4 linked regions of the Drosophila melanogaster genome follow. The protein of the gene in region 1 interacts with the protein of each later gene in a pairwise test. Each region holds a gene or a part of one and is shown in the gene's direction. Other genes may lie near its edges.

What was found.
Region 2: the proteins of Dr (region 1) and noc interact in a two-hybrid assay, tested with the Drosophila melanogaster proteins (one large-scale study listed by BioGRID).
Region 3: the proteins of Dr (region 1) and CG32121 interact in a two-hybrid assay, tested with the Drosophila melanogaster proteins (one large-scale study listed by BioGRID).
Region 4: the proteins of Dr (region 1) and Hr38 interact in a two-hybrid assay, tested with the Drosophila melanogaster proteins (one large-scale study listed by BioGRID).

What each region holds. Positions count from the first base shown.
Region 1 is NT_033777.3:29,553,780-29,561,053, forward strand, and holds the start of Dr (drop), read left to right. Parts: upstream 1-2,606; 5' UTR 2,607-2,856; coding exon 2,857-4,066; intron 4,067-7,274. UniProt on the Drosophila melanogaster protein: Plays a key role in the specification of proneural and promuscular cluster formation. Required for the specification of dorsal and lateral muscle progenitor cells. Regulates development of peripheral nervous system derived from lateral neuroblasts.
Region 2 is NT_033779.5:14,488,070-14,496,125, forward strand, and holds noc (no ocelli), read left to right. Parts: upstream 1-2,789; 5' UTR 2,790-3,176; coding exon 3,177-3,266; intron 3,267-3,568; coding exon 3,569-5,092; 3' UTR 5,093-5,950; downstream 5,951-8,056. UniProt on the Drosophila melanogaster protein: May negatively regulate Notch-induced cell proliferation in the eye-head primordium. Required for development of the supraesophageal ganglion and ocelli.
Region 3 is NT_037436.4:13,414,372-13,424,874, reverse strand, and holds CG32121 (uncharacterized protein), read left to right. Parts: upstream 1-2,538; 5' UTR 2,539-2,553; intron 2,554-4,749; 5' UTR 4,750-4,780; coding exon 4,781-4,894; intron 4,895-5,464; coding exon 5,465-5,788; intron 5,789-5,891; coding exon 5,892-6,946; intron 6,947-7,018; coding exon 7,019-7,472; 3' UTR 7,473-8,299; downstream 8,300-10,503. Other genes in the region: CG14106 (uncharacterized protein), read left to right, coding at 1-296; CG33263 (uncharacterized protein), read left to right, coding at 707-1,390; flr (flare), read right to left, coding at 8,771-8,880, 8,948-9,098, 9,155-10,209, 10,275-10,503.
Region 4 is NT_033779.5:20,710,487-20,717,678, reverse strand, and holds the start of Hr38 (hormone receptor-like in 38), read left to right. Parts: upstream 1-3,090; 5' UTR 3,091-4,209; coding exon 4,210-4,642; intron 4,643-5,378; exon of another isoform or gene 5,379-6,477; intron 6,478-6,672; exon of another isoform or gene 6,673-7,192. UniProt on the Drosophila melanogaster protein: Binds to NGFI-B response elements. Plays an important role in late stages of epidermal metamorphosis.

The sequences.
Region 1 (7,274 bases):
GCCTGACAAAAAAGGCACACAAAGCAAAGCGGCAACCCACATAAATATGCAACACCCACACACAAACACACACACCCACTCAATCATGGCCAACTACATATATACGTCCAAATAGCCCCACCTCTCATTCCGCAGCCATAGCTTCTACAATCAAACTGGAATCGGAATCGGTCGGCGGGATATATAAATTCGAAAAATTATGAAAAACTATCAAAACATTTACATACGCTCGTTGCGGGGAAGGAAAGTGAGGAAAACGACGTGATCTTTTCGATCCACGCACTTAGTGTTGGGCAGCAGGCTTTTTATTAGCCAAACCTAGCTAGTTTTCAATATGTTTCAGTTAAAAGTTTTCAAAAATTAACAGAATCTGTTCTAAAGCATATTTCTGAAGTTATTTCAAAGTGAACATAATATTTCTTGTTTGTTGTTTCACTGCAAGACATAACAACTTTATTGGGCAAACATAAATTGCACATTTCTAGTCACATAAGGTGAATATTTTTTTAATATATTTTTTAATATTTTATTAGCTAGTTTTTAAAATCTATCGCAGTCATCACTGCACGCACGCAAATCGGCGGCCATTTATCAAATGACCAACTTGGCCGAAGCGTGGACTTTGTTGGTGCTTTTGTTATTGGCCGACTTGCTGCTGCTTTTGCCGGTTTCGTTTCATCTCGAAGTGGTGGGATCGAGAATAGGTGGGGGGAGTGGAGGGGGCTGGAGCTCGCTTATGATGTTTATTGAAAAATTAATTTGCGCCTCGTTGTTGTATTGCTTTTTTTCGGCGCTCATTTGCGTATTTCAAAGCGCAATGAATAATGATGGTGGTTAAGTAGTGGAAAATAAAAGAAGAAACGCTCGACGTGCTTGGCCTGAGAAATTAATATTTGTAATTGGCTATAATTGTTTATGCCAACGGCACAAAGTATAGAAAACGAGACGCAGACAATGATATTAACGAGCTGAGGGGCCTCTCATCGCATTTTGCCGCCATTTCGAAATGTTTAATTGAAAAGAAAGCGGAATTGCCGGGCATCGTAATGAAGAGCTCAAGTTTTGGGAAGTTGGAAAAATTTTAATCAGTCAAGAGGGGCGTTGGAAAAGTGGTAAGAGGTATATCAAGTGTTAATTGAATGGCTGGGAAATGTGAGAAGTTCATAAACGAGTTTACTGTCTTGGTTTCTTTTAAGTGTAATTAAAAACGATTTCGGAAAGAGTTTGAAAAAAGTTCAGAAATTATATAAAAATATTTCTAAATTTCACCCAACCCATTTAGGCAAGAACTCAAATTAATTGGCTAGAATTTCCCCAATCATGCAGAGTCGTTTCATTTTCAGCATCGTTTGCAACTAATTAAGGCAACCACACAGCCATTCGTCAACTGTTCTAATTGAGCTCTTTATTTTCCACCCACTGGCAATTGTCATTAAAATCCTTTCACCAACTTGCCGCCCGAAAAGCCGAGCGAACCCGCACAATCCGACGCCCATTTCCCATTTTCACAACTTGGTCCTTCGAGCAGCGGAAAACAAAGGAGCAGCTGAACAATGGCTGGCAAAAGTTTTCAAGCCAACAATTTCACATAATAATCCTTAAAATGAGTTTAATTTGTAGAGCGAGAATTATAAAGGGTGCGGTATTCCCGCTCCCTCCCTCACTCCACCCGCCAACCTTGCAATTTATGGAGCTTATGGGGGTTGGCAAAATTCTATATAATCCTGCATATTTCACATTTATATGTATGTGATTGATTCGGCCGGGTTCCCGGGACGTTCGATTTATGTGGACCGATCCGATTTTTATGGCTTATCTCCTGAGGTGGAGCAAAAGGGAAGAAAAAACATAATTTCCTGACCGAGATTGCAGCTTTGCGATAATGCCGCTCCACCCGACATTTGATGCTTTTGGGGCCCTGATAATGATGGGCTTATTATTTATTATATTGTTCTTGTACGCTAAGGACATGTAGGAGTGCCAATTAAAATTGAAAAACCGCCTGGTCTATATATACATACATATATATGTACATATTAGGCGTACATAAAGCTTAAAAAATCACGCCAATTTGGCCAAATGAAGTCATAAACGATAAAGAGGGAGATAGAGGGAAAATGGAGATGGAAGGAAAAGCCAGAAAACCAAAGTGGAAATGGACAGGCGTTTGCCGCCGCTGCTTGTTATAAAATGCTAATACGCGCAGCAGCTCGAAAAAAAAGTGGAAAAACGCTTTGAAGATTGAATTATTCAATAATAATTAGGCGTGCGACAGGGACGGCTATACTGCGGGGCAGCTACACCATCTCTGTCTGTACGGCAAGAGTGCGGCAAACTCACCACACTGAAGCGAGAGCGAAAGAGAAAAGAAGGCGGAACAAAAGTCAGAAAAGTGGAGAAATACAAGACTCACACCGGAAAAAAAGAGCGAGCGAGCTAGTCTCGAAACCAATAAAAATGGTGTCGCACGCGGTGCACTCCACCACGGGAGTGAGAGAGAGGCACGCTCTACACAGCCGGTTTCCCACCACCAATCGTCGAGTGCGTCGGTGTGAGTGAGTATCTGTGTGGCAGGCAGCGGTGCATCCGAAACTGCGACCACAGTTTCAGTCGCAGAACAGACGTGATCTCAAGAGGACGTGTCTCTCTCTGGAAATAAATAGCCCCTGAAAAGATACAAAACGCCGCGTGTGACAGTGTGTGTCTGTGTTTCCCAAGCGTGTGACGAACGAGCGCATTAATTGAAAGATAATCAAAACAAATTAACAGCAGACCATGTCTCAATGAACCAATTAACCGGCGCACCTAAAGCACAGTATTAACGAGCCACAGTTACACAAACGATCGAAAGGCTTTATGTTAAAGCTCAGCCCAGCGAGCATGACAGTTACAGGTCTGCGCCAGACGATGACCAGTCCCACGGTGCCGCCGAGCAGTAACACTCCCGCGGGTAACCTCATCATCACCAGCAGCAGTAGCAACAGCGGCAGCAACAGCGGCAGCAACATGAGCAGCGGCAACATGACCAGCAGCAACCTGACCAACCTGAGTCCTAGCCACCCGGCTGGCCTGAATGCCCTGGCCAGTCCCACCTCGCCGTCGGCACTGCTGCTGGCCCATCAGCAGCATCTGCTGCAGCAGCACCAGCAACACCAGCAGCAGCAGCAACAGCAGCAGCAGGCGGCGGCGCTCCAGCTGGCCGCAGTGCATCCGCCGGCCCACCATCTGCACAAGACCACCTCCCGACTGAGCAACTTTAGTGTGGCCTCTCTCCTGGCGGACACGAGGCCCAGAACGCCACCCAACCAGGCGGCGGATGGACCCCAGAACCTGACCAGTTCGGCGGCCACCTCGCCCATCTCCCAGGCCAGCAGCACGCCGCCGCCTCCGCCGGCCAGTGCGGCCGCCCAAGTTCCCGCCAACACCTTCCATCCCGCCGCCGTCGCGCACCACGCCCACTTGCTGCAGGCCGCCCACGCGGCTGCGGCGGCACATGCCCAGCACCAGGCGATGGCCGCCCAGCTGCGCCAACAGCAGCAGCAGGCGGACGCCCGGGCCAACTCGCCACCCGCCTCCACGAGTTCCACGCCCAGCTCCACGCCACTGGGATCCGCACTGGGATCGCAGGGCAATGTGGCCTCCACTCCCGCCAAAAATGAACGCCATTCGCCGCTGGGCAGCCACACGGACTCCGAGCTGGAGTACGACGAGGAGATGCTGCAGGACCACGAGGCCGATCACGACGAGGAGGAGGACTCCATTGTGGATATCGAGGACATGAACGCCGACGACTCGCCGCGCTCCACGCCCGACGGCCTCGACGGCAGCGGCAAGTCGCTGGAATCGCCGCACGGTCCGCCGCCGGGCTCTCACATGCAATCCACGATACTTTCCCCGGCGGCCCTGGCCTCCGGTCATGTGCCCATCCGCCCGACCCCCTTCAGTGCACTGGCCGCCGCGGCGGTGGCCTGGACGGGAATGGGCGGTGGAGTTCCGTGGCCAGGAACCAGACAAATGCCGCCCTTCGGACCGCCTGGCATGTTTCCGGGAGCAGGATTCGGTGGAGGTAAGTGTCGTTATCCAGTTCTTTGTGGGGTTTTTGTCAGCTTGTTTTCGGTTTTTGTACTTCCTAGAGGGGAAATGATAAACCTTATCTGTTACATGTGCTTAACTGTCCTGTCCTAAGCGATATTTTAAACTCATTTGCAATGGAGGATTCAGCATGGGCATAATTAAATAATGGGAAAATAAAAATATATATAGGAGAGAATATAGAACTCAAAAGGTTTACTTCAAAAAAAATAAAAACAACCTCAACTCTCTTTCGAAAATATTTTCAATTTAGAGCCTTAACATCAAAGTAAATATGAGTGTATATATAGTTACATTTCATATATTTATTTATAATTAACTGTAAACCCATAAACATGAACTTCTGAACCCGTGAACAATAGAAATACGCGAATTCCGCTTGGGAGCAAATTCCCCATTAGCAGCCAGCGATGTGTATTCAAAAACGATTTATTTAATGGAGGAATTTCAAACCACCCACCCCACCCCTCATTGTTTTATGCCCCATGTGCGGTGGCAACTTTATCTACACCATTTTGTGTCGCATTTTAATTCAATTAACTGCCGCCCCTCGCCTTAATTGGCATCGATGGTGACTCTCCGCTCCTGGTCGGACGCGAGCTGCGGGTGCTCCATCATGGCCACCTCGTCGTCATCGTCATCATGGCTATGGAATGGAAGTGATCGTGACTGCAGTTTGTAGTCAAAGTGCGTGGCAATTATTGCGGGGCCTTAAATAAAACAATGAAAACTGCCTGATTGCGCTGGGCCCATTATTTGATGATGATGATGATGATGATGGCTGATGGCTGATGATAGTCGCGTCGGTTCTGATTTGACTCAATTGGCCACGTCTGATTATTCATTGCACTCGCTGGCCAGCGGCGTTTTTCGGTGTTTTCCGGTCTGACAGCCAGCCAGCCCCCCATTACCGTTCCCGAATTGGAAAATCTAATAATAAGCGCGTAAAAAGCGGACTGTCTAACCGACCAGCCAGACTAATTGAAGCGAGTCTGGCTGTTTAACTGGGCGATCTCTATCTGCATGCACAGTTCACACTTTGCCTGCATTTCCTGGACAAAAAGCACCGCGGGTCGTAGGGAAAAACTGGTGGAAAATCGGGGAAAACACTCGACAAGTCACACTTTGATGCCGGACTGACATGTGAACTTTACTCGGCCATCGCGAACTCTGCGTTTCCGCTCCTTAAAGTTGCTCAAACACATTCGAAAAACTCGGAAAGGGCGGTGCAAAAACGGTGGGCAAAAAAGTGTAAATTTGCTTTTTATATGCAGAACAGCAACTATTGTTCCTGTTTTTGCTGCATATGCTCGGGTTTTTCTTGCCACTACAAAGCATTGTTTTATAAAGCTGTCGGCTGTGTTTTGAAAAAAAGGGCTTCAAATGGGGTGTTGTATTAGGAAATTTGGGCTTTAAAGTAGGTTAGTTCGAGTATTACCATATTACCGCCTCATTCAAACTATTAATACATGAAATTCCAGAACTGCATCTCTAAAAGTGCTTTCATAAATTCCAAAATATTTCAAAAGGGAACTGTTCAACAAATCGATATAAATCAATCTCGATGTGGGCCATCAATTCACCGCCCTTCATCAACCACTTGAGCTATCTTTCGTTCCTTCCCTATAAAGATGCCGAGATGAATAAACTATTCCAAACATTTGCCGCTTATTTTGTCATTTGGCTGTCAACTGCTGCATGTGTATAAAATACAGTCGAACAACTTCATTTCATTTCATTTCGTTTCGTTTCGTATCATTTGGCAGCTGTTTTTTTATTTTGTGTTGTTTTCTGGCCCTCAGTCTCGGTTTCAGTTTCTGGTTCCTGTGTTCAGCGTGTCTCATTAGCGCAGCAGGTTGCTGTCTTCTGTGGACTGATGATCCCCTGTTTTTCCGGAGGGTTTCCCTTCTGACCTGCGCCGCTATCTTCTGCGGCATTATGTCAAGTGTTAGGTACTTAGTGCCTTCGGCAAATGCTTAACTGGTAGATACAGGTTGTATCTTTTGGCTACCGTTTGTCGGCTACTTCATGGACTATTAAATTAAGCTACCATCGATTAGAGGGAACACACACACACACACACATAGTCAGTCGGCTTGAAGTTGTATGGTTTTTTGCCCTGCCATTTGATTAGCATCTTCGTGTTGCAATATGGGGAATTCCCTTTGTGCCTTCATAATTTAACTAATTGCAAGCGCAGTCGAGTCACGTATGCTGCACATGCCACCCATTTTTGCCCCCTTTAACCCCTCGACGGCCCCTGTTACTCAGCCACCACGCATTGCAGCTGCAATTCTTGGCAGCCATTATAGAAATTAATTTTCAAGCTGAACAAACGAGCAACAACTTGGGAGTCATTGCATAAATACATAGAGCCAGGCACACACACACATGCACACTATGCTTTATGGCAAGAGAGCGAAAGAGAGAGGGCGAGAAAACCTGGCCAAAACGGTGGGTGTGGCATGTCAGCAACGCCCACCCAAAACACGCAATTTTCAACAGCAACGGCAGCAATTTAAACGTTGACAGACGGCTGCTGGTTGGCGAAAAGCGAGAAGAGGGTTAAGGAAGACCCGGTGCTGTCGATAAGTGGGCAGCGAGGGGTTAAGGGGGCCGTTTGCATGCGTTTTAACACCATTTGCAAGGCTCCAAGCCGAAAGAGTCAAAAGCTAAAATAATATTTGCATTCTGCACGCCATCTAACGTGCATACGCTGTACTAAATACACACATGCAACACAGCAACGTTGGCGAGGGGGGGTGGTGCCTTCGAGGGGGCGTGTGGCGGCGCAGACATTTTGATGTATGTTTTGGTAAATAAAATTTATTTGCATTAAATTACCAGGCCAGACAAAGCGAAGGTGCTGGTGCTGCGAATGGTGATGGGTTAAACGCGGTGGCAGTGGGGTCGTTAAGGGGGGGAGTGCTAAGTGTGTGTGTGTGTGTGTGTGTGGTGGTGTGTATCTGTTAGGTTGAGAAAACATTTGCTAAATATTTGTAGACAATTGGTAGTTCAACTAATTTGAGCTGCCTGCTGTTGGATGTTGCTGCTGCTGTAGATGTTGCTGCTGCTGCGCTTGTTGCTGTTGCCGTTGCTGTTGTTGCTGCGCTGCACCTGAGTAATTAAATAGCGTTTGGAAGCTGTCATAAGAGGTGGCCTCACCCAGCCCACGGGCTATC
Region 2 (8,056 bases), on another chromosome or scaffold:
AAAAATCCGCAGACAGTTAAACGACTTTCCCTTACCAGTGGCAACCACTTCACGGATATATATATACCTTCATATTGCCGGAGATAATGTCAAATTTATTGCATTATTTTTCGCTCCTTTCGCCCGCCAGTTGCTCTGCATGCGTGCCACCCACTCTTGCCGCAGGCAAACCATCCACCACCCGCCGCCACCCACTGGTGTGCATAAATCAAAAGGTAAATGGCTGCATTTTTATGACTGCGCCGCCATCGTCGTCGTTCGCCTTTTGCGCTGCTTCGCTTTTATCACACAAACATTTCTGTGATAATAAATGCCATAAAAATGAAGAAATATGTGGTTAATTTTATGTGCTGCCTCTGCCATTCCGCCGCTTGTTGTTCTTGCTCTTGTTGTTGTAGTTGTTGTTGTGGCATCCAGTATACTTCCTTTTTATATTCCCCATATAAATGTTTTCGCGGCTACAAATTTTTCCCACTACATTTGGATATCTCTCGGCGCTTTCCTTTACAACTTTGGCGAAGATATCGAGAGTATTCGAATTCGAAACTCCTTATAGTTGCATAAAACGAGATTTTTAGTCTTAAAGGACTCTGATGCACTATATAACTAGAAGCTCAATATAGTTTTTTATTTCAGATCTTATTATTGTTAACCTAATAGAACTGCTGCATCTTTAACTGCGTACCTTGTAATTTAAATTACGCTTTTTTTTATATTTGTAATCTTCGCTACACGACCTCCTTTTGAATAAAATGAAGTTATCAACGCTGAAATGCTGCAGGGTGAGCATTAGTCTGAAAGCAAATCGCTTTAGTCACGGTATCAAGGTGTTCCGCACTTCCGCTTGGCAATTTCTTCGGCTTCGTGTAATTTATAATATTTTTGTATTATTTATATGACACCCCCGGCCACTGGTTTGAATTTACCTTCAGCCCACTCCCGCAATTTGCTAGTAAATAATTCACATACAGGAGCAGCGAATTTATGACGCTGACAAAGTGGCCATAAAAAATAACAAATAATAAGAGAAAATGCTATGGAACGTGTGCGTAAACTCTCCAACTCTGCAGCAGTATACATGCATATATACACGTATATACATTATTTTGGCAACACTTTTTTCGCTTTGTTGCACGCAAAACCGCAAATTATGTCTAAGCCGTATCGTAAAGTATCGCAGCACGCTCTTAACTAATAAATCCATCATTTCGCCGAAGGCCGAGAGTGTTTCCTCTACCTGTTTTAGCCTCGAAGGTATTTCGCTGCCGGGTTTCGGCTTAGGGATTCCCACAGAAAAATGTCTAAACACTCTAAATCGGGATTAAAAGTGTCGCTTCTGGGTTTTCGGCTTATCGTCCATATTTATACAGATTTTAATTTACTTGCCAGGGGCTTTGAAGGGTTCTTAAAACTCAGCTTGGTGATTAGGTAACATATCCCAAGGGCCAGATATTCCAAAATCCCCTCGGGGCTTGAGTTAAACATCTTGATACATAGTTTATGGTTAGTCCAACCGATTTGGTTGGGATTACGTTGGAGTTTTAATATCGGTTAGGTAAAGTGGCTAGAATGATCTAGATCAACAAAATCTAAATGATTAGTCACATAATATTTTCTAACTACTTAAATAATAGTAATCAATTATGTTTAGAAGGAGCTAGCCTATTATTAGCTCTTAATAATTTAATATAAATCAGCCTCGTTTTGCAATTAAACATTATTAGTATTCAGTAATTATCTTGAAACCAAGCAACGTGATTAACGCGATTTCGTGCGAAACGTAAATAAGTAAGTTAGGCAAGTGCTAACTGGAAAATTCAATCCAATTGTAGAGCGATTAAAAATGCAGCGGAGTTAACCAAACCATTAAACTATTACCAACTCTCTGAGTGCAACATGCCACAACACACATTCGCTTGTTTGATATGTGCAGATTAATTACACACACACCAAGGAAGGAGGAAAAATTGCTTGGAAAAACTTTTCGACGCGACAACAAAACAACGATTTCCACTTAAACAGCAAAACAGGAGCCACGAAAAAAAAGAGGGAAAACCAACCGCAGAAGTTAATCGAAAAACGCTAAACAAAGGCCACAACAACAGCTGTGCGAGTGAGCGGGTCAGAGGGAGAGAGGTGAAGTGCCAGAGCGGGAGAGCGACAAACAAATTAATTTTTATATGACATTAAAACGAGCGAAGCGAGGCGATGGAAATGGTTGAAGAGTGTGTTTAAGTGTTGAGTGGTTTGCTTTTCCGAGCAACAAATCTCGGTGCGAAGACAATGAGGCCTCTGCCGCGCCGCTGCCGCCACCACTGCAGCGCTGCTGCTGCTGACAGCCCCATCAAGAAAAAGTTCCCCCAGAGAGACACAGAGAGGGAGAGTGAGCGTGACATATGTGCCAAGATAAAATTAATGTGCCCCCCAAAGCAGCCACAACAACAACAACTCACTGAGCGGCGCTCTCAGCGCTCAACTGTTGCTCTCTGGACGAGTGTTGCCGTGGTGCAGCCATATTATTATGATTTTACAGGAAGCCAAATCGGAGAGCGAGAGAGAGAAAACCTGTCTTGGCTTCCATTGCAAGGCGCATGCGATTGTGATTGGACAAAAAGTACGCCATATTTGAAAATTACGCACAGTGCATCTCGCTCGCATGCAGCAGGCGGTGCTCCTCTAACGCAGGCAGCAAGCCAAAGTGTGCAGCGCTGCTCGCCGGAGAGCGCTCTCTCGCGAGTGAGCGAACGCTTCGCTGCGAGGGCAGTTACGCTCGCTGCCGCAGTCGTTGAATTCAATTCGAATTTTGACTTCGCAGCGTTCAGACGTGTTCGGAAAAACCTGAAAACCATTCGAGTGACAAGAGATATAACCAACAAAAATAAGAAACCTCAGTCAACTGTGGTCACTGATCGAGAGTGTTTCGTTTCGAGTGAAAAAGTGAAATCAGAGCCAAAACACAAATCGCTTGGCCAGCAAATTGAAATAGTGCTACAGAGATAAATTCTCTGCTCAAAACTACAAGTGTGTTAAATCGCCGATTTTCTTTGGATTTACCAACGTTTGCCGACGCATTTCTGTGGATTAACCTCATCGTCGCCGAAGCAAAGCTACGCATTTGTAGCCTTGTCTCGCAACTCACGTGGATTACCCTCGAGAAAACACACTAAGCAACTGATATGGTTGTCTTGGAAGGAGGCGGCGGCGTTGTTACCATCGGTAACAACCAGTACCTTCAACCGGATTATCTGGCCCCATTGCCAACGACGGTTAGTATTGACTAAGTTAAAAGCTGTAAAATTTTGGGATGGCCGTAAAATCTATGGTTTTAAATTTTGCGTACTTAAGAATTAAATTTGGAAAGTTCATAACATCAAACAATTTTTCAAATCTAAAAATTTATATCGTCATTAATACTTTCACGAACAAACTTTCTTTGGAAGAAATTGCATTTTCTCATAGTTTTAACTTCTCACCAAATTAAAATCAATATTATCTTAAAACTCGTAAAAAACTTTAAAATTACAAAAAACCTAATTCCAACTCCACATTTTCATTTTATTCATAACAGATGGACGCCAAAAAGAGTCCCTTGGCTCTGCTCGCACAGACTTGCTCCCAAATTGGAGCGGATTCGTCGGCAGTGAAACCCCTGCTGGCAATGGACAAGAACAAGACAAAGCCCGGAGCATGCTCCTCGTCGTCGAACTCGTCGAGTTCCTCGGGCAGTGCTGAGATCTCGGCAGCCAAGTCACCCTCCGGCCAGGCCAAATCGCCCAAGTCGAGCACTCCAATCAGCTCGACGGCAACCAGCGCAAGTCTGAGTAATACCAGCACCGGTGAAATCAAACTGGCCTTCAAGCCCTACGAGACCAATGTGCTGAGCCACCAGAACCAGAACTCCTTCAAGAGCAGCTCTTCGCTGGATGCGGAACCCACGCGTCCCAGCTCTAAGAACTCCTCATCCGCCCAGGAGCGTGTGCCATCGCGCAGCAAATCAAATGCCACGCCCACAGATGGCGGCAAGGCGGAGATTTCCGCGCACGATTCCTCATCCAGCCGAAAGACTGTCTCCCCGTCGGGATCGTCGCAACGCGGCGCCAGTCCCATTGTGCGCTCCGGCATGGAGGTGCTGAACAATGCCAACGGAACCGCCCAGCATCCCAAGGAAATGAGCAGCATGGCTGCGGCGGCAGCAGCAGCAGCAGCGGCTTACAAGGCCGCCGGACCCTATGGGCTGAATCCCCTGTCCGCCCTGTGCTGCCCGCCCGGAATGGAGCAGCACGCCAATCCCGCTTTCCGGCCACCGTTTGCCGGAGGATTCTCACACCATCACGCCGCCATGTTGGCAGTTGCCGCCAATGGAGGATATCCAGGCGGAGCTCCCGGCGGTGGACCAGCCGGACAGCCCAATCCGTACATAAGTTATCAGCGCATCAAGACACCAGCTGGCGGCGAGGCTATAGTGCCAGTCTGCAAGGATCCGTATTGCCAGGGATGTCCCTACTCGGCGCACACGCAACAAATGCTCATGGGTGCCCCCTGCCCCGCCGGATGCACCCAGTGCGAGCATCAGAAATACGGCCTGGCCATGGCCAGTGCCGCCGGACTGCCACCAGCTCATCCATACTCGCAGGCAGCGGCCGCTGCTGCGGCAAACGCGGCGGCAGCCCGTTCGGCACCCTACGTGTGCAGTTGGGTGGTGGGCGATGCCTACTGCGGCAAGCGATTCCAGACCTCCGACGAGCTCTTCTCCCACCTGCGCACCCATACGGGCAATCTCTCCGATCCGGCGGCTGCTGCGGCGGCCTTGGCCCAATCGCAGGCTCAATCCCTGCTGGGAACCCTATTTCCGCCATCGGCTCTCCGAGCTGGCTATCCAACACCACCACTGAGTCCCATGTCAGCGGCTGCGGCAGCGGCGAGGTATCATCCATACGCCAAGCCACCACCAGGCGCCTTGGCTGGAGGACCTTCGCCCTTCGGCGCCGCTGGAGCATTCAATCCTGCCGCGGCGGCTGCGGCAGCTGCTCTGGGACCCTACTACTCGCCATACGCCATGTACGGCCAGAGGATGGGAGCGGCTCATCAGTAAAGTGACTTCCACAAGAGTTAAATACCAAAAAAAAGGGGATTACGTTGAAGAGACAACCAGAGATATAGAATGAAACCATTTCCAAACCCTGTTTGAGATACTTTCATGGAAAACAAAAAAGATAAAAGCACAAAACGATTGCAAAGGCTGACACATCTCTGGCTTTTGCGCTATTCTGTGATACTAAACTGTAGTTTAAAGAGCGCTAGTTACACTTAAGTTTCGCAAACAGAAAATAATCAACCACCTAAAGAACAGTAGTAGCCGCAAAAATAGCAGGATCACTCTCTTCTATCATCGTAAATGTCTACATTGTTAGGTAAAAAGAAGTGCAGCCAACACGAAGTTCACTCACTCTTATTTGTTCTCAAAGTTCAACCAAAGTTTTTTAAGTCTTAGCCAGAACACATTCTACAACTTCCAATTTTGTTAATGAAGAACCCATTGCTGAGATGTTCAAACATTGTTTTAGTTTAACTTCGCTTTAAGTTCTATTAACTATTATTACGATTATCTGCAAGCATACAACAAACCAACAATTGAAATAATGTTCTTTAAGTCAACTTATATTTAAAGTAAGTGTAATGAATATTTGTAATACCAACCAATCAGAGATAAAAAATTAAAAAAAAATAATAATAATTACGAAAAATAAAAATGAATATTTCATATAATTATGTACTGTGTGTAAATTCTATAAATATAAACTAGATTTGCTATTTACTCCTTGATGTACGCAAACCACAATACGATCTACACAAGAAGCCACGGAATATCAAACAAAAATAACTTAAACTACATGCAACACATTCGTATAAAACTGAGAAATATACAAGAAAAAACAATTTTTAGAAGCATAAACCACGAATCTTTTCTTTTGAAACAAACTCTTTTACAGCTGGAAAACTTTTTGTTGGGCCATAATTTCGCTTCGGTTATCTGCGCTGTTTGGCTAGCTCACATATGGGTCATAAATATTGCTGATAATGCTCCACTAGGTTTTCAATTATATTTACATAAGGCTGAGTGGCAAATTCCGGAAACCATAACAAGGTCTAATTCTCTTAATTTTATAGTTCTTACTTAGAAATGGGACTAAAGGAGTTTTTAATTCTGAGAATTGAACTGCTTCTTATAAGTATCATTGATATTAAATGTAAGGTTCTAGGCAAATAAATAAATAAAATCTTATAGGTTATTCTTTAAAAATATTTTAATTAGTTTTATTTTAGACAAAAGGTATTTTAATGTGCTCTCAATTTTTTCTGGATGCACTCGAAGAAATCTGGGTTTCCCCATCTCACCTAACACATTTGAAATTCAAATTAGTACTATTAATTTGCATTGCTTGTTGCATTTTAAGCGCACTCAATTTGTATGCAGCGATTCGTATTCAGCCTAAAAAATCAAATCAAAAGCAAATTTCAATTTCACGAGGGGTGGGGTAAATAACTTGATTGGGCAAGCCTTAATAAAACAGTCGCCGGCAACAGTCATAAAACACCCAAGCTGAAAATTAAAAATCAATAAAAATCACATTTGTACCAACAATGTGTATAACAAAAATCAATTGCCATTCAATGAGCAACTCAAATGCATATATAAATGAATATGTGTGCATATGTACGTATGTATGTACATATAAAAAAATCGCTGACAAAGCGAAATGACTAACATTATTCACAAAAAATATGCTTCAGAAATATCAAAATCTGAAACCAACCAGACAACTCAAACTTAAGCAACAATCAGCCACAGCAACAATGAAAATCAATGGTGATATTTCGAGTGTATCTCATAAATAAATTAATTGTGACAATATTCAATTGATTCGATTTGAAATTATCGCATTCAACTGTCAAGCGATCAACGACAACGTTTTTTCAATTGTTTCAATTTCCAGCGGATTCTTTCAATGTCTGTTTTCATTCCCCCTTCAACCCACTTGAATGTTGTTTCTGATTTGATTTTGATTCGTTGCGAACACAGCCGTTTGGCCCCAATACAAATGTGGGAATATGATATTCCGCAGGGTCGGGGCTGCCAAGGGGTAGACTTATCAATACTCAGCAATCAGTGTTGTCAAATGAAGTGGCGAAGTGCGAGTTCTTGATTTCAGAATGCTGAGGGATTTCAATTTTGTAAAGCATTTCAAAGAAGTGGGAGTGCTCCAATGGTATGTTTTATATATTCAGCAAAACAATAATGCAATAAAAGAGCAGGAAATCAGAAATCAAATAAAATAAACCATGTATGCAAAAACCATTTATTGAAACGCCTCAGTAGGCTTAGTATAGAAAATTTAATATCTTCCTCTGTTTTCCCCGAACTTTGGATACTTTTAATCGTGTTTTGATTCCGTTGAAAGCTGCGCTTGTAGGGCGTTTTGATTGTTGTTGCTGTCGTTCCAAATTTAATTTATTTACATGCCACGCATTTCTTTGTTTTACCCTGCTGTCCATGTTAAACAATCTGTTTTGGATGTCAACACTCGCGCGGCGCCTCCGAACGGCAGCCATAAAAGCAAAATCAACTTGAAAGGCAGCAAAAGCAGCGGAACACCGAAACAAAAACCAAATCAACAACAAACTCAGCAACTTTTTGTTAAAAATAGTGTGTTTCTGAATGGGGAGCAAATAGCTCCAACTCTATCGTTTTCTCGCCAAGAGATCTTGCAATGGACTGAAGTTGGCGGCTTGGACCCCGTTGTCCAACTGGCTCGTTGGTCTAGGGGTATGATTTCCGCTTAGGGTGCGGGAGGTCCCGGGTTCAAATCCCGGACGAGCCCAAGTCAAAACAATTTTTTACTTTAATTTTTATTTTTAGTTCAATAGAAGAGTTGAGGTAACACTTGTTTCTTGAAAAGTTTAATTCTTATGCTGGATTCGCTAAAACGTAGAAGGTAACGTTTGCGACACTATAAATGGCAGAATTTGTCGCTTTTCTTTCTTTTTGTGTTAAAAT
Region 3 (10,503 bases), on another chromosome or scaffold:
ATTCTCAAACGGATTCACCTGAGGAATCCCAACCTATTCTGCTAACCAGTGAGCAGAGAATGGTGCTAATGGATGCCGTCCGTAAGCGGCAAAATCAATTGATTGCGGAATACAACCGATTGCCACTTACCGTGGGCACATTGCGAGTCCGGAATCTCAAGAGACAACTGGAGCAGCAATTGGATGTGTTGGACTACGATCTCAGCAGGCTATCACTGACGAATGTGTATTTGAAGCCAGAGTCACAATTTGGAACAATCGCTTATCAAAAATTGCCAACAAATATAAATGCTTAGCTAAAACGAATTATTCTCAATATTGCTTGCAAAGAATTCTAAAGGTTCTTGAGTTTTTCAACCCACTTCAAGTTGATAGGTGAAATCTTTGGGAAAGGTGATACAAGGCATAATTTTATTTATCTAATATTTTATTGTAAATAATATAGTAAAAAGTACCACTCTTTTCTAGAGTATAAATGTCTAAAAGTACAATATTTACCTTGGTACTGTTTTATCATAGCAACTAAGTCATTGGACGCCCTTGACATATTTATTGGTAGAAAGATAAAAATTGGCAACATGTTATTTGGGAAGATATCAACCACAAGTGTAACGATAAGAGTTTCGCAATGAGGCTTGAAAATTGCCATAAATAGGGATCGCCAAACCTCATCTCTATCAATAAAGTGAACCAACTGAATAGCACCATGTCATTTAAACTATCTTTGCATTGTCTGCTGATCCTGGCAGGATATCTCACTTCAATTGAAGCCGAAGTTTTCCCGCAGTGCGCAAATGCTCCATTGGATACCTTTGTCATGGCCATCGAAGATTGCGCTTCATACATCTATTGCAATGGAGAAGACTCCTTCCGAGACAGCTGCCCCGAGTCCACCTACTTTGACGATCGAACCCAAGAGTGTGCCTTTGATGATGAGGGTGTGTGTCTAAGGAACTCAGACTCAGTCCAGACTGAGGAGCAGCCCGATAAGCAAACTACTGGTGAGGAGCAGAGCGGGATCGAAGAAACCACTCCCGTTCCAACACCGCCTTCTGATTACGCCTCTACAGGATCTGCGGACTCTTCTACTTTCCAAGCTGATTCTACAACAACCCCTACAGAATCAATTCCTTCAGTGACTGAGCCACCGACTACATCTGCTACGCCATCCTCCCCATCTGCAAAGCCTTCCTCTCCAGCTCAGGAAAGGCCGCACTGCGACATTTCCGGAGATGGTGACCATCCTCATCCCCAGCGGTGCGAGTACTACTACAGGTGCCTCAGCGGCTATCTGACCATTGTGAGATGTCCTTACAAGTATGGCTGGGACTTTCCTACAAAGCAATGCAAGCCTAGCAGCGAGGCTCAGTGCTTTAGTTATAGCTACTAGATTTATCTTTAGAAGCTCAACTTTGATCTAAATAAATTAGATTAGATTAGGCGATCTGTAGGTTGATTTCAAATCATTTTATTAACTTTTATACATTTATTTATATGTTCTTAAGATGAGGCTTTAACTTTGATCATAATCAAAAATAAATGAATAATTTCCTGTATGCACTTTATTTTTCTTTCTTAGAGTGTACATAGCAATCACGTGTGCATTTGCATTGTCAGTCAACTAGATAGTTGTTAGTGGTACTTTGACATTTAACGTACGTTTTATGTAAGGAATTATCCTTGAGTGAAGGGCTTATATACACATTGAGCTATTTACAGCCTCCAAGCTACGCGGCTGCTAACCCAAATCGAGGTGCGCACAGATGACAATAATAAATAAGTATTTGTGGCATTTTAATGAATTGAAAAGTGCATAATGAAGGTGCTGGGTGCCCGATGACCAACGGCGTCTCCATCTGGCGGTTCCATTTGTATTTGTCAGGCATAATTCACAAATCCAACGCGCAGGTATATGAATTTATTTTCGGCGGGCAATTTTCAAACGGCGGCAACTGCTGTCGCCGCTTCCACATTTTATTGCAAATTAATAATGCACACGATCCCGCAACAGTAGCAGCCGCCGCTGCACCAACAAATTCCTCCGCCTGTCGGCCAGTCGTGTCAATTGTGTCTAGTGGCGGAGTGGTCGCAGTTCCTGATTATGATGATGATGATGATGATGCCCTCATGATGATTTGCCACTGGCAAATGTTTTGATTAACTAACTGCGGGGCAGCCAATTAATTTTTGGCCAAGAGGCTTCACACTGATCGCGAGTACAAAACCGCTGAGATTTCTCTTCGCTGCGCCGATGCGGCCTGCTCATTAATTAAAGAACATGGAATCGGGCGACAAACGGATCCGCCCGACATGCTGAGAGCCAAATTCGAATCCGCTAAACAAATGGCAACAGCAGCAGCAACAACATTTGGGCCAACAGCAACACCAACAAGCAACAGCAGCAGCTACAACACCAACAACAGCAACACAAGATAGAGGAAAATTGTCAAGAGATGGACATTCGAAAAATAGAAAATCTCCAACTAAACCGAAAGAATTGAAACATTTTCGGATTTTTTCATTTCAGATGCGAGCAGCAAACGGTTAACAAAGGTGCACGCTTGTCCCGTCGCGAAAATCGCGAAAGGGAAAATTCGTAACGGACGCGGGGAAAATGGCATTAGCAAAATATGTGTGAAAAGCTAGAAAAAGAGAAAAATAAATAAAACAAAAATGTGAAGGATTCGTTTAACGAGAACCCAGTGATAAACATAGAACCGAGTGATTAAATTATTCAAGTAAATTGTGTAATGTCGCTGCGAGCACAAAAGGAGATCTTCAATGTGAAAGATAGATAAAAAACAAACTGCGTGTCATAAAAACACTACATAAAATAACATGAGTTGAGGGAAAATATTCAATTTGATGATCGCCACGAGCATCCCATTAGCATAAAAGAAGTCAATTCGAGATCCTCAACCATAAGGGTTAGCCATAGAGCTCTATTATTAGACTTCCCCAGGGGCAGATATGCTGGGCCACTGGATTATGCGTGATTCACATATACCGCTGATCGTGCGAATTCTATATTGAAATTCAAATACCTCTCGGAAAAAAACAGCGTTGACATCAAATTTATGTGCGCCACATTTCATGGAACAAATGAAAGTTAAACAACAATAACAAAGGCAACGCAGCGAAGGCTTAAGCATGATTTCATTTTCTATCCACTTCCCTCGACATTCTCAACGAGGCGTATGAGTGATTATGTGTAAAATATTACGCATCAACGAAATAGCTTCGAAATGAACCAAAGCTAAAGGCAAAGCCAAATCCAAATCGAAATGAAAACGATTGCGAGGTGCTTTGGAATGAATTGCCATGGATGACAAAAGGCAGGCACTTGGACAACAAATCAAAATAGACAGCATGGCGAGAGCGTTTAGCACAGATCTTTATTTTTTGGATGGCTATTTAAAACAACAGCCAGAGGACGGTACAGGAGAAGGAGGTGCCGAGCTGAAAGGCTGAAAAACTAATTTCGGAAAATCAAGTAAAAACTGAGCGAAATACCAAAGAGTTACGGAAAAGAAGGCTGCCTGACTGTCACGACAACACTTTCTTGTGTGAACGAGCGCCAAAAAGGCCGCGCCGCTCCTCCTCCGACCCTCCATCTCGAGTCGCCATCCACCCCAATCCCCATCCCTCCAATCCCATAGCCAGGCATCCATTGTACCCCATCAGGCATGGCATGGCAAGGCAACCTCCACCATCCATCGTCTCTCAATAGAGAAATGCTTAGATGCGATTCTCAGTCCCATGTGCACACATAATGGAATGAAGAAAATTCCGTCGTCCAACAATTGCACGCTGGGCTAGCTAAAGTGCAAAGAAAACCAAAAGACTCGGACTTGTCACTTCGCTGCGGATTTGCATTGGCCGGGCTGCCTGTTTTTGGGGGGCCTCCAATGGTCGTCGGTGCAGCAGCAGCAGCAGCAGCATAGACCGAGAAATCCCCAAAATCCCCCACATACCGACATACCCACCCCAGCTTCCTTGGACTAGCTTCTTATAAATAGCCCTCGGACAAAAGTGTGAACCGCCCGCCCGCCCAGTGCATCACATGCGATCCGAACAATGGAAATTGCCAAATTTATAGTGTACCCAGAAACCCACAGTGGCACTGCGATCAGATCGCCCAGGCCAGGCCAGCCAAGGAAAACTTATTTTATTTAAATAAATTTGGTTTAATTGCCAGCAAAGAACACAAATAACACTGGCCGTGTCTGTGCGTCTGTGTGTGTGCTGTTTTATTGTAATTCCGATTCGTCAACTGGGCACTCACCGAAACGGCCGAGTAAATCAGCCCGTTGACTTGGTCATCAAAACATAGAGGAGTACTCGACAATCCGGATACCTTGGAGGAGCTGGCAGCAATCTAAAGATGGATCAGGCTGTCATTAAATCAAATTATGCCGTTTCCCGGTCCCCAATGACAAACAACCTCCGCGACCCGCAAGATTGCGCATAACGGGGCGTATGAGTAATAAGCCAACTGCTACGACATAATACGTATACGCCTCGTGGTGCAGACGCTCTTCTAGGCGGCCAAGAAGAGCGGACACGAAAAGTGTGTGTGACAAAACGTTCAATAAATAAACAAACCGAAATGCAAACAAACAAATTATGAGAAACGAAAACAAAGAAGCCAAGTGGGCTGGGGCAAGGCGAATAGAATTTGTTTACCTCTCCGACATCCGACATCTTGCACATTCACTAATTGCATTTACCCCCTTACTTCCATTGCAGCTGGTCCATGTGATCCAAACCCAAATGAATTATGGAACATGTAAATAGCACTAATGCCAGACAACCGCAGCATCATCATTTTGATCAGCAGCTGCAGCACAATGACAGCCAACAGCAATTCTGCCTGCGATGGCATAACCATCAGGTGAGATCCTCCAGATAAAATTCATTTGAATTTTCATTTGTGGGGGGACTATATTCAACATTACCTCATAAGTAAGATCCATTAGAATGGACTGGACATCGTTCAGTGAAGCGAGCAGGCCGAAAGTAAAATGTCGCCGCATCTATATATAGGATCCATCTATCCAAACACATTCCCCTATACGTACAGATTCACACATAGTTTTCCGCATTTTCATATAGTGACAATTTTTGTGTTTCGGCCCAAAGGGTGTAATGCGGTGAAAGCGGGGCAGCGGTGAAACTGGCTGTCCAAAATAGCAAAACAGCCAAATGGACAAAGAGTAGTGAGGAGGAGTGTTCAGTGTGTGTGTCACATAAATGAACAGATTCGTGCAATTGCCAAAATCCAAAGAATTTCCACAGCGAGTAAATCGAAAAGTTGGAAAGCAGCTGCAGCCAACCCCTGTCCCCTGTTACACCGCAGACAGAGGAGCATCATGGGGCCCAGGAAATTGTATTTTTATGATCGTGTGACCCACTTATGAGCACTTTTCACATCCCCAACCCCATTCCCTCTGATCCCTTCCAGACAAGTTTGCTGAGCACTCTGCCCATTCTGCTGGACCAATCCCATCTGACGGATGTGACCATTTCGGCCGAGGGACGCCAACTGAGGGCCCATCGCGTGGTACTGAGTGCCTGCAGCAGCTTTTTTATGGACATCTTCCGGGCTCTAGAGGCCAGTAACCATCCAGTCATCATCATACCAGGGGCCAGCTTCGGCGCCATCGTCTCACTGCTCACCTTCATGTACTCCGGAGAGGTGAATGTATACGAGGAGCAGATACCGATGCTGCTCAACCTGGCCGAGACACTGGGCATCAAGGGACTGGCCGATGTCCAGAACAACAATGTGAGTAGCTCAAGTGCAAGATCTAGTTAGATAATTTAAATAAACTTGTAGTTTTTCCCTGAAACTCATACGCCTTTCTCTTTGGTCTCATAAATCCAAGCAGTTACCAAAAACAGCGAGAAGTGGAGGTGGCTCCTACATGGATACGACGAATGAGAAGTCCTCTGAGTTTGAACGTCCCACCACACCCTCGCCCACGCCCACCCCCACCCTTACGCCCTCCCACACGCCTACCCCAAGCCATTCACTCCCCCTGCCCCAGCTACCAAGTGCAGCACTTAACACCCCTCTCCTGGCCAACAAACTGGGATCGGTGAACTCCAGTGGAATGGGCACCACGCCCCTGGAGAATCTCTTTAAATCACTGCAGTTCTACCCCAGTCTGCTGCCCCAACCACTCAACTTCTCGCAGACGGCGCTCAACAAGACCACTGAGCTGTTGGCCAAGTATCAGCAGCAATGTCAGCTCTACCAGAGCGGGATGCAGGAGGATCAACTGGAGACGGACTGTTTTGGCTCCAAGAGGCTAAAGGGCGACAGTCCGCCGAAGGAGCTTAGGCGACTGGAAAAAAGCCTTTTAAAGAATCCAAAATCCTCATCGACGACCAACAGTAGCAGTAGCAAGTCGCCTCAGGAATGCTCCAACCCGAATCCCATTGTGGCCACTTCACCAGTAACTCTCGCTCCCCCGACCATGGCACACTTCTCCCCTCAGTTGCCGGTGGTCAAGTGCTCCTCGGCTAGTTACCCCAGCGCTCTCGGCCAAGGTCAACTCTATAGTAGCAAGCCACCACTTTATAGTGCAGCAGTCACGCCGACTGCCGCCCAGCAGGCGGCGCAGATGCACCACCACCCGCAACCCGGGCCATCGCCCTACATCTCGGCCGAGGATCATGCCAAGCTGCAGCTCCACATCGAACAGTATCAGCGGGAGGCGGCAGCAGCAGCGGCAGCGGCCGCCGGCGGAATGGCGCTGGTCAGCGCCAAGTCGGAGCCCAATCTGCTCTCGCTGAGCGCCGACCGCGACAAGTCGCTGGCCACCGCTCCCATCAAGCCGCCGTCCAACTCGAAGCTCTATGCCACCTGTTTCATCTGCCACAAGCAGCTGAGCAACCAATACAACCTGCGCGTCCACCTCGAAACCCATCAGAATGTTCGGTAAGTGGTCTGAATTTTAATTGTTATAAAACAATAGAAGTCACCTTTGGAATTACTTTTCGATTCCATCAGGTATGCCTGCAATGTCTGCTCCCATGTGTCCCGCAGCAAGGATGCCCTGCGCAAGCACGTTAGCTACCGACATCCTGGGGCGCCATCGCCATGTGAAAACGAGGCTCGCCGGAAGAGGGTCTCCAAGCTAGCAGCGACCACTGTGCCCACTTCCACGCCCATGTCCATGAGCGCCAGTCACACGGTCACCAGTGGCGATGTGGGTCCAGCTCCAGCGACCACACTTGGATGTTCGGGTCAGGAGGCAAGGAATCCGTACCTTTTCCTGCCCAATCAATTTCAGATGGCTGCTGCTGCAGCAGCCGTAGCAGTGGCCGAATCCTCGCCAGCTTCTGGTCAACCATCGCTAGACTTGGCACACGAAGCGCCACCGAGCATCAAAAGTGAGCGGGAGCCACCGACGGCGAGCAACGGAGAGGCGACCGGTGTAGAGGCATCGGCGTCAACCACCTGAGGATAATTTTTTTGAATATTTTTGATTTGTTCAACTCACCACACAAACACGCACACAGACACAAGGAGTACGCCCACCCATGCACACGCATATTGTTGGGTGACCGATGAGTGGTGGAAGGAAAGGGCTGATCCCTGACTCCAATTGTAAATCCGCTCAAGGGTGGTGGAATCTATTTCAATTTCAATGTTTCCGAACTTCGAATCCAATTTCAAAAATATTTAATCAGCAAGCGTAATCAAGCTTAATAATATCATTTTGAAAACACTTGCAAAACCATTTAAATTTGCATATTCAAAATGTTTTTTTGTATTGAAAGTATATTTAAAATATCTCAAGTTCAAACTTTGATTTTTGTAAGAAAGATTACGCTCTTCGTTATTTTTTGACATCTAGCCCCATTATTTTACCACTAAGTATGATCGGATTTTTTAACAATGTCAGAGGAGCCAATTTTCATCACCCACTCATGAGGTGCCCAACATATGAATATGTCAACTTTTAGTCCCACCGAAACCAACGTCTTAGACCCGGCTGTGATAATTAGCGCAATTCGTTTTTCGTCTTCTGCACTCGAGCGCCTTTCTAGCTATCTTAATTTATGTACTTACGTTTAGCACAATTTACGTTTATTTTTTCTGAAACTTTAGCAACCTCCGAGGCTCTCAAACTGCAAGTTACAAACACAATCCTTTCGCTTTCACGCTCTCTCACAAGCACACGTCCACACATTCTAGTAATCTAAGCCAAGTTTTTATAAATATTGTAATTATACACCTGAACACGCACACACACTTGCACACAAAAAGACAGGGTGAAGACCTACCAAACCAAAAAAAAAAAAAAACACAATTTTCAAAGGAATAAATGTTTAAGAAGCCAAAGAAATTGTGCGTGTTTAGCTAATTTTCCCGATCGCAACCAAATGGAGAAAAGTAATCGGCGAGCTATGCAAAAACTAGTATATTTCATTTCATAATACAATAATTTATGTACGCTGGCGTACTTTACATATCTTTGTGTTTCCTTTCGTAGTTCGTAGTTCCAGTAGTATAAAAATTGTTCGAAAAACACATACGAAAATGATAGTGGGGCAAAGTAGTTGAATATCCATGATATGATGATTAGCAAACACTTTTGGCTTAAAATTAAAGACATGACATGAGGTGTGCGGGGAGGGCGGGGAAAAAGACATAAATATCTAAATGTAAACTGTTGCACTTAAATGAAATGAAGCCAGGGCGCTGCTGGCTGCTCTCCCTGGATAAGTATAAAAATATGCTTCACGGCCGGCGCATTTAAATGTTTTCCACGTGCCACACCTTGGTGTTGCAGTCCTGTCCGGTGGAGATCACAGTGTTATTGTCCAGCCAGACCAACCGAGTGATTTGCGACTGCGGATGGGCATCTGGAGTGGGCAGAAAACAATATGTCAGATATCGCTTAAAGCTTACTACTCTTTTTGAAATACTTACTCTTGATGATAGTATGTTTGGCCGGATTGGCCACGGACCAGATAATGATAGTAGTGTCCAATGATCCACTAGCAACCAGCAGCGAGTTGGGCGACCAGGCCACCGTATTTACGCGAGCACTGTGGAAGCCCCACTCCTTGTTGTGTGCAGGCTTTTAAAATACACTCGATTAGTAATGGAATTAAGACATTTATGATTCCTTAATACCTTGTACTCCTCCACTGAGTAGAGCACCACCTTGCGATGGGCATCGCAAGCCACCAAATACTTCAAGTCCGGCGAATAAGAAACATCCGTGACAGCTCCCAAGTGATCCAGCTCCACTTTGGGCTCCAATACTCCGCCCTTCAGGGTGTAGATGTGCAACTTTTGGTCATCCCCGCCGACAGCAACATCGGAAGTGTCCGCATTAACGGCAATCGAGCTAGCCTCGTACTTAATGGGCAGCGAAAAGATCTTCTTCTGGTCCTGCACGAGAGTCAACTCTTTGATGCAAGCAAGTGCAATGATGTTCTCGTTGCGCAAAATGGCCAAGCCACGTGGCTGGCAGTTAAGCTTCACCACATAGTCCGTGTAGGAGTTGCCCTCCACGCTGAACTGGCGTAGGCTGTCGTCGATGCCACAGGTATAGACAAAGTCACCCCAGGCGGCAATGCCGTTGATCTGGTTTCCGTGTCCAGTGCCCGTGATGCGATCGTTGGTGCCGCTGCCCGAGTTCCAGTTGGTCACCACGCCATCGTGGCTACCCGTGTATATGGTGCTGCGGTCATCGCTCAGTCCCAGCACGGTGATGGGCTTATTGTGGCCCTTCACCACACGCAGCGGTTTCGAGGGATCCGCCACATTGAGGTAGGTGATCACGCCCGAAAGCGAGACGGTGATTAGGTTGTCTCCTTGCCACAAGCAGGACACCTGCTGGTCGTCCACAGTGGTGCCCATCACAAACTCGCTAACCAGCTCGCGCGACTCCACTGTCCAAAGGCGGCACGTCTTGTCGCCGGAGCAGGTTAGCAGTTGGGTGCTGTCTGGTTTCCAGGCCAATGCGTAAACGCCGCCCTTGTGGGCAGGAGATCCAAATTCGCCCACCAGTTCAGAGCTGGTGCCATCGTACAGAAAGACTTTGCCATCAAAGCCGGCGGAGGCGAAGAATTTGCCATCGGGCGAGTAGCGCACAGCCTGGACGAAGCGAGAGTGATCCTGCTTGGTCATCTTGAACTTGAACGGGGGTCCCTCGAACACGGCGATAGTATTGTCTTCGCTGCCTGTAATAACAAGTGTGTGTGTGTAAGTAAGTTTATTGCATTTTGGGACTATTATGTGAACTCACCCGTAACAATGCGGAATGGCCTGGCTGGCCGGAAGTCCGCCGAGTTAATAGACTTGGACTGGCCACTGATCTCGCCCACAGACGTGCCGGTTTCAGACATAAAGACATGACCGAAACGTTCGCGTCCTTCACCCACGGCAACGATGCGCTGATTGTCTGGCGACCAGCTAATATCCTTGATGGGTCCTGCAATGGGCTGGAACTCATTTTTAAGCAGGTGCTCCTTGTT
Region 4 (7,192 bases), on another chromosome or scaffold:
ATCAAAGCCTAAATAGCAATCAAAAAGAGCAAAAATTCCTTAAATTAAACTCACGAACTGGCGGGCGCAACGATGCGAAAATGATACATGCATTAAGGCCCAGCCAAGTTGACTTGGCCAAAACGAAGCGAATTTGGCTCGGCACATTTAGAATATCATCGCAGTGCAACTACTACGACCACAACAATAAATAATAGACAAAAGGCAGAGAGACAAAAGCAAGGAGTGCCGATTCCAAAGTCGACTTCGACGGAGACTGCGACTTTGGCTTGGCTTGGCTTGGCATGTCATGCTTAATACAGCCAATAAAACCGCCAGAGACAACAACAGCAACAATGGCAATCGAATCGCTTTGGAAGCAGCCCAAGAACAACAACCAAGGCACAGCAACAATATCGGCGATAGCAGCAACAACTAGGAGACTCCAACGCTAAGCTGTTTGCATGCACTTTTTGGGGCCACCAGCAGGTCAGCCAACAGCAGCAGCACCACTAGCCCCACTAGCACCACTGGAACCACCACCACCACCTCCACCTCTGCCACCACCATAATCGCCAAAGGAACAGCGACAGCACCATCGACAACAGCAAGAAAGCTGGCCGAAACAGTGGCTTAGAGTCCATATGATTTGGAGGCGGTTTCTAGAAAGCTTAATACGCCATGGAACTACTAAAACTCTGACCATTAACATCCACTAATGAGTAACGTGGATATTTCCATTTCTCATATTACAATGAAATGAATATAGAAATGCCACTAAAGCTGCTTTTAAGATTATAGATATAGATTATAACAAAAATAGATAAAGATCGGGAATAAACGGAGTAATAACTAGGAACACTACTCATTACCTCTAGTGGTAGTACCACATTATCCTAGAAACTACTTCTTTAATAGCCATGGAGAGGCATCATCCTTTTACGAGTGATCCACAGCCACTGTGCTGAATGCACATGGTGCCTGCCACAGACCAGTTCCACTTGCGTCGCTCCCAAATCCAACTACAATAATATATATGTACATGGGAAGCCACACCACAGAGCGGCACATTACAGCACACCGCACCCCGGAGCCACAATGGGCCGCAGTGTGAGCCGGACCCAGAGCCGCGAGACCCGGGCAAAAGCATTATGGGAAAAAATGTAGCCGAAAACGAAAGGAAGAGCCACTGCGCCCAGAAAGCCAAGTCGCTCGGCTCTGTCGCGGTCGACGCAGCAGTCGGCCGGCCGACTCAGCGATCTCACGTTTTGTCTGCGGCTTCCACATGGAGAGGCCCAAGTGCACAGCCCGCGATCTCCGGTTCGTACGCTAACAACAGTTAGAAAACGTGGCTTGGAACCTGTCTAAAAATAGCCACAGCGAATGCAGTCCAGCACACGAGCGGCCGACATGCCGACAAGCCGACAAGCCGAATGAAAACGAAACCTTAAACGCCAGAAGACGTCGCCGCCGCAAAGACGAGTCTGCGGATCCCGAAGATTTGGATTTGGGTTCGGGTGCCGAGCGCCAAGACTCTCACTCTCTGTGCAGTCGACGCTGGCAGCGCGGTCGACGCCGCGTCTTCGGGTTTACCGTTCTCTAGTCGTGTGTCGCCGATCTTGGGAGAGAAGATTTGTACTGGCTTTGCGTTATTATTGTTTTCCTCGTTGTTGTTTACGAGCTGCAAACGCCGGTGTCAATGGTAAAGTGCATTAATATTCCCGCTTTTCCGACGGCTCGCGGGGCGGGAAAATCGCTCGGATCGTGTTATTGCCAGTTATATCGGCCAAATGATTTGTGGCGCAGCTTATTTATATTTGGGGATGAGGAAAGAGTGATCTGGTTTATGAAGTGGCAGGATGGTATTTTGTTAAGTGGAAAAGCGAAATTGGCCTGGGATCTTGTGTGAAATCGATTTGTCTTAGCACTTGGAGTGAAATAGGGAATAAAAGCGGGTAACTGAGATAAATATAAAATCGTGATTTAAGTTGAAAGGAAAACCAGACTCATTTCTAGGCTAAAAGTCCGTTTTGCATATCAATTTCAATTTGAAATATTTATAGCATAATTATAAATTATATTATATAGCATAAATATAAACCAAATTCAAAAGTAGTAAATCACTATAAATAGAATATTGAATTCTTGCCATATGATACTTGTTATTCTTTTCGAAATTTCTATCTTCCTATTTAACATGATAGCTTTACTTTTCCACCCACGCTCACCATCATGGGATTGACTCACATAAACATATTCCTCGAAATCTGGTCCATTTTCCTTTGCTTTGAATACACCCACACACACGAGAGCAAGGAAGTCCTTTCCACCAAAACGACACCACAGAATGCCCACACAGACTTAGTACACTGAGAAGAATATGTAGTTTAAGACAAACAATAAAAAAACAAACAACATTAAAAACATGCTTTTTATAAATGCATTAGAGTACAGTCTACACATGGAAAAGAGATTGATATTTAAAGACAAGTGTGTAGATGATGTACAATGTGCATAAGGGAATATTCCTACAAATTGTACGTCCTTATATATCCTGAAATTAATAAACATGTTTCCTGTGTACGATAACTGAGAGAAACGGAAGTTTTGGCAGCAGGCGAGAAGTGGATACCCAGTGGGCGGTTGGAAAAGCGGAAAAGTGGGTGGCGGAGTGGTAAGCCGGAGCAGGTGAAACGGCACCAAGAGCCCCAATCAATCTCAGATGCGAGCAAAAGGGATGGCCAACGTCGGTTTTATGACGCACATAATTTCCGCTTCCGAACTGTCCCACTGGACTGCATTCGGAAAATCGGTCGCTGAAAATGGGTGGAGGGGATTTTCCGGCGCAGGCGCTCTGCCAACGACGTCATCGATTTTCCTCGCACGAGCTGCGCTCAGTTGTTGGCCCCAAATGACGTAATAGCCGGGCCGCAAAGGTAGGTCGTGTCCCGCTCGCTTGCCGTCGCCCCTCCCTCTCCATCGCACACTCACTCTCGCTCTCACTCGCTCTCGCGAGCGCAGCACGGCGCCAGCTGAGGCAGCGCTGTCGACGCGACGCGTTGAATATAGTCGCGTGTAACCGTAAAGATAAGTTCAGTCGCGTCACAGACGCCGCATTGTTAACAACTTTAGCCCAAACAGCCACCGCTCACGGAAAAGCCAATACAAAATATAGAACTTATATCGAGGCGAGCTCGATGGTTCTGAATTTCCGATCTTAAGTCAGCCAACTAAGACTTTAATCCACACAACTATATAAACATCGCGTTCAGTATTAACGAAACACAAAGCCAACATAGGTGTGAGTGCTCAAGAGTTAAACAATTGCAACAAGTTGTTGTTCTTTATCGATTCGTGCATTCGTTCTATGCGGAAACGGAAGCCGGTCGACAGCGCGGCGTATGCGTAATAACTTCCAACGGTTGACAACGCGGCGTATACTTCACCTTTACCTTTCTTAAGCGAACAATGCATATATTTCGGTGGGCAACGCTGCGTATGTTTGTTTAATCTATCTTACCCCGCTGCGAATGTGCAGTAAATTAATCTATAGTAATTCAAATTTCGTTTCATTTCTGAGAGACAAGACACAGATATTTTTGAACTGAAAGTTTTGCTAACATTTTAACGAGCACGTGAGCTGAAGAACAGTAGTAATTGTTTTTGTGTTGCCCATTGCGCGCGTGTGTGTATCAGTGTGTAAAGTGTAAGCAACGTCCTTGTGCCTCCCACTACTGCAACTACCACAACCGAATATATATGTATATGTATATAGAGACCCCAGTTGATATAGTATAGCGTGCGTAAGTCGTTACGTCGCTTACATCGTCACTTGGCCACTGCGCAAACGCCGGAAAAAAGGAAAGGCAACAAGAAAAAAGCCAAAAAAAAAAGGAGGCAAGTTCAAGTCTAAGGACACACAACAAAAACAACAGCCGGGCAAGGACAGAAAAATGAAGCCCGATAATAACTACTGCAATCAGAGCTACTGCGACAAAAGCTTCGGCCACTCCTGCCGCAGCCAAGAAAATTGAGGCAAAATCCCAGCCCAACTCGGAACAGTCGTGCTGGATCACCAGCGCCGCTCGGGGCGCCAAACAGGTGCCTATTTAGAAACCATATAGTGTGTGATCTGTGTTGTCCCGTCCTGTGTGCGTTTTATGTTTGTGTCCCATCATCACCATCAACATCATTGTTAATTTTGGGTTCTTTAACGGAGAATCGTGGTCTATGATGCGCGATCGGCTTGCCTCGCTGATTGTGGTGAAGCAAGAGGGCGGCAGCAACACGAGCATTAGCCACCACCAGGCAACGGCCATTAAGTGCGAGGCCTCACTGTACACCGAGAGCAGTTTGTTCCAGGAGATCAACAACAACTCCTGCTACAGACAGAACCTCAATGCCCCGACACACCAGCAGTCACACACATCACACCTGCAACACGCACAGCAGCACCAAACACACCAGCAACATCCCCTCTTGCCGCCGCCTCTGCCGACTCTGCCTTTGATTTACCCCTGCCGCAACCTCTTTCCCGACGGTTGCGATATCAATCACCTGGCCTGCTGCAGTTCCTCCAACTCCAACTCCAACTGCAACTCAGACTCGAACTCCACCTCCAGCTCACCCGGCAACAGCCACTTTTTTGCCAATGGAAACACATGTATGTATTTGGTTTTCCCTTTCGGCTTATCGGTGTTGGTGACTTTTTCGTTTTTTGTTTTTTTGTATTTTCCAAACTCAAACGCCGCTGTGGTGTTTTCTTCTAATTCGCTAATAGCACACGCGGCGTATACGCAATGTGCAGCGCGCATTGCCAAATCGGCCAAGAAGCTAACTGTTTGCTCAATCCGTTTGAGAAGGCAGGTCGGGAAAAAATCTGAAAAATGCAACTTGAATAAAAAAGGGGGCGTGGCTGGTGGGGGTAGGTTGGACAACGCACAATGACGACATAAATTTGCATGAAAACTGCTCAAAATGCATCATAAAAATGGTGAAAATATTAAGCTTCCATTCGCAAAATACGAGAGCAACCACAGTAGAGGTCAAGAAAATGAGGCAGAGAACTTTAAAAATTCTTGGATTATGATTCAAAAATGATTTAACAATTAAAAAGTTTAAGCATTTGGAGTACTATTAAAGGCAGCTCTAAAAATGTTCGGTATAGTTTTTTTTTAAGCACATCAGAATTAGTTTCAAGCTATCATTTGCATTAAAAATTGTATGCTATGAAATTTAGTGCATTAATAAAATTAATTGTATAGTTACATCAGAATTAGTTTCAAGCTATCATTTGCATTAAAAATTGTATGCTATGAAATTTAGTGCATTTGCATAAAATTAATTGAGGCAACTATACCGAACTGTAAAGACGGGCTTAAATCAATTACCACCACTTTGACCTTAGTTGTGTGTGCAGACCCGTCTTGGCTCTCGGTGAGCATGTGCTGCTGTTTTTGGTGTCGTACACATGTTTACCAGCGTCAGCAAAGCGCCGCAGTTTCAGCAGACGGCAGCGGACGCAGCCTGACGCAAAATGATTTACAAGCTGCACAATAAACACCGCACACAGATGCAGTGCGTCCGATTTCCACACAGATACTCACTATCGACGGCTAGGGATGGCCAATGCATTTTTATTAATAACCGCATAAAAAAAACATCGCCGATTGAAGCTCAAGCATGGGAAAGATAGATCGATCATTTCATTGCCGAGTGGGTGGTTGGTTCGGTGGGTGGTGTTAGGGCGCCCGGCGGTGGGGCATCCGATTATTGGGCTTACTAAACGGCTTGAAAGGCTTTGCCAATTCATTCGCTGCGGCAAAGTCGGTTAGCCACTTGTTAGCCGCTTCTTAAGCGACTGTATTTTGCGGCTAACTTAGCGCCCATTAAGTGTTTCCCAGCAATCAGCTTTTAAGCACTCTGCGGTTAGCGTTTTCAACTGCAAGTGGGCCATGTGAGCCTTCAATTCACAGGAATCTACTATATGCACATTCTAAATTGATTTAATTGTCAATATTACAGAATGATTATCATGCGCTACATATGGATAGGTATCCTTTCGATAGTCTTCGGATAGGTTTTTTGAAACAACTACCCAAGTAGAAAATTAGTTTCTATGGTGAAATGCAGTTAAACACTAAACCGAGGGTTGCCAATCGATTGCAGAAGTGAAAATGCAGGGCGAAATGCACTAGACTCAGTTGACTATTAGACGTGGCAAAACAAACATCTATATTTATAAGTTGGCTATATAGTACCATAATGGCGATGGGCGCCAAAAGTGCCCGACATCGGATGACAAACCAGAGCAAAACAAATCGCCGAAGAACATATGACCAGGTGAGGTGCATCCACTAGTTGTGGTATATAGTATTTAAGCCATGACGCCAGCGGGGCCATGAAATCGGCCAGTTTAACGGATTAGGCGGCACACAGTTTTCACATTACGGGTGTTTTCCCGAGGCACGAGTGCTGAAAACGTCATCGTCGCGCCGAAAACGAAAATATATGACGAAACCGTGAAAAGATTGCACTCTCTTTGCGTCAGCTGCATCCCTAAATGTGTATCTATTTATATATATATATATATATCTCATAATTGGTTCGATTTTATTTTCATTATATTTATGGCTGGCCACGTGCTGATGACGTCTTATTTCGGGGATGAGTTGGCTGTATGCCTGCAGTATTATCACAAGTCAGCGTATTTCTTATTCCTACGACTAGTCACATTTCGATTTTGTTTTTAGTTGTGTTTTTGTTCGATGCTCACGGCGGGGCGTGTGAAAACACTGTTGCTTTTACTCTTTTCTTTCCGATTTGCCTTGATTGCTCATACGCCCCGTTCAACATGGCAACATCTCTTGGGCGTAGCCAATTGCATTTCAACATGGCCCAAAGCGACCCGGCAAAAGGTCCGCCCGAGCCGCACATATATAGACGTTCGATGCACTTGGCCAGGGATCGAGATGATCGCGGCTTCCCTTACTGATTAACCCCAGCGAAACGAGCTTGATAAATGATGCAAAACACAAAATACCTAACTACTCACATATCTATGACACCCGAAAAAATTTAGATACAAAATATATCGTAGCCCCTTCATTGTGTAGTTATTCACGATCCGTCGTGCGTTGTGAGTTATCTCCGCGGCAGCTGTCGGGATGGCCATTGTTGATTGTTGCCTCTTTTGGCCATTCCTCATACTCGT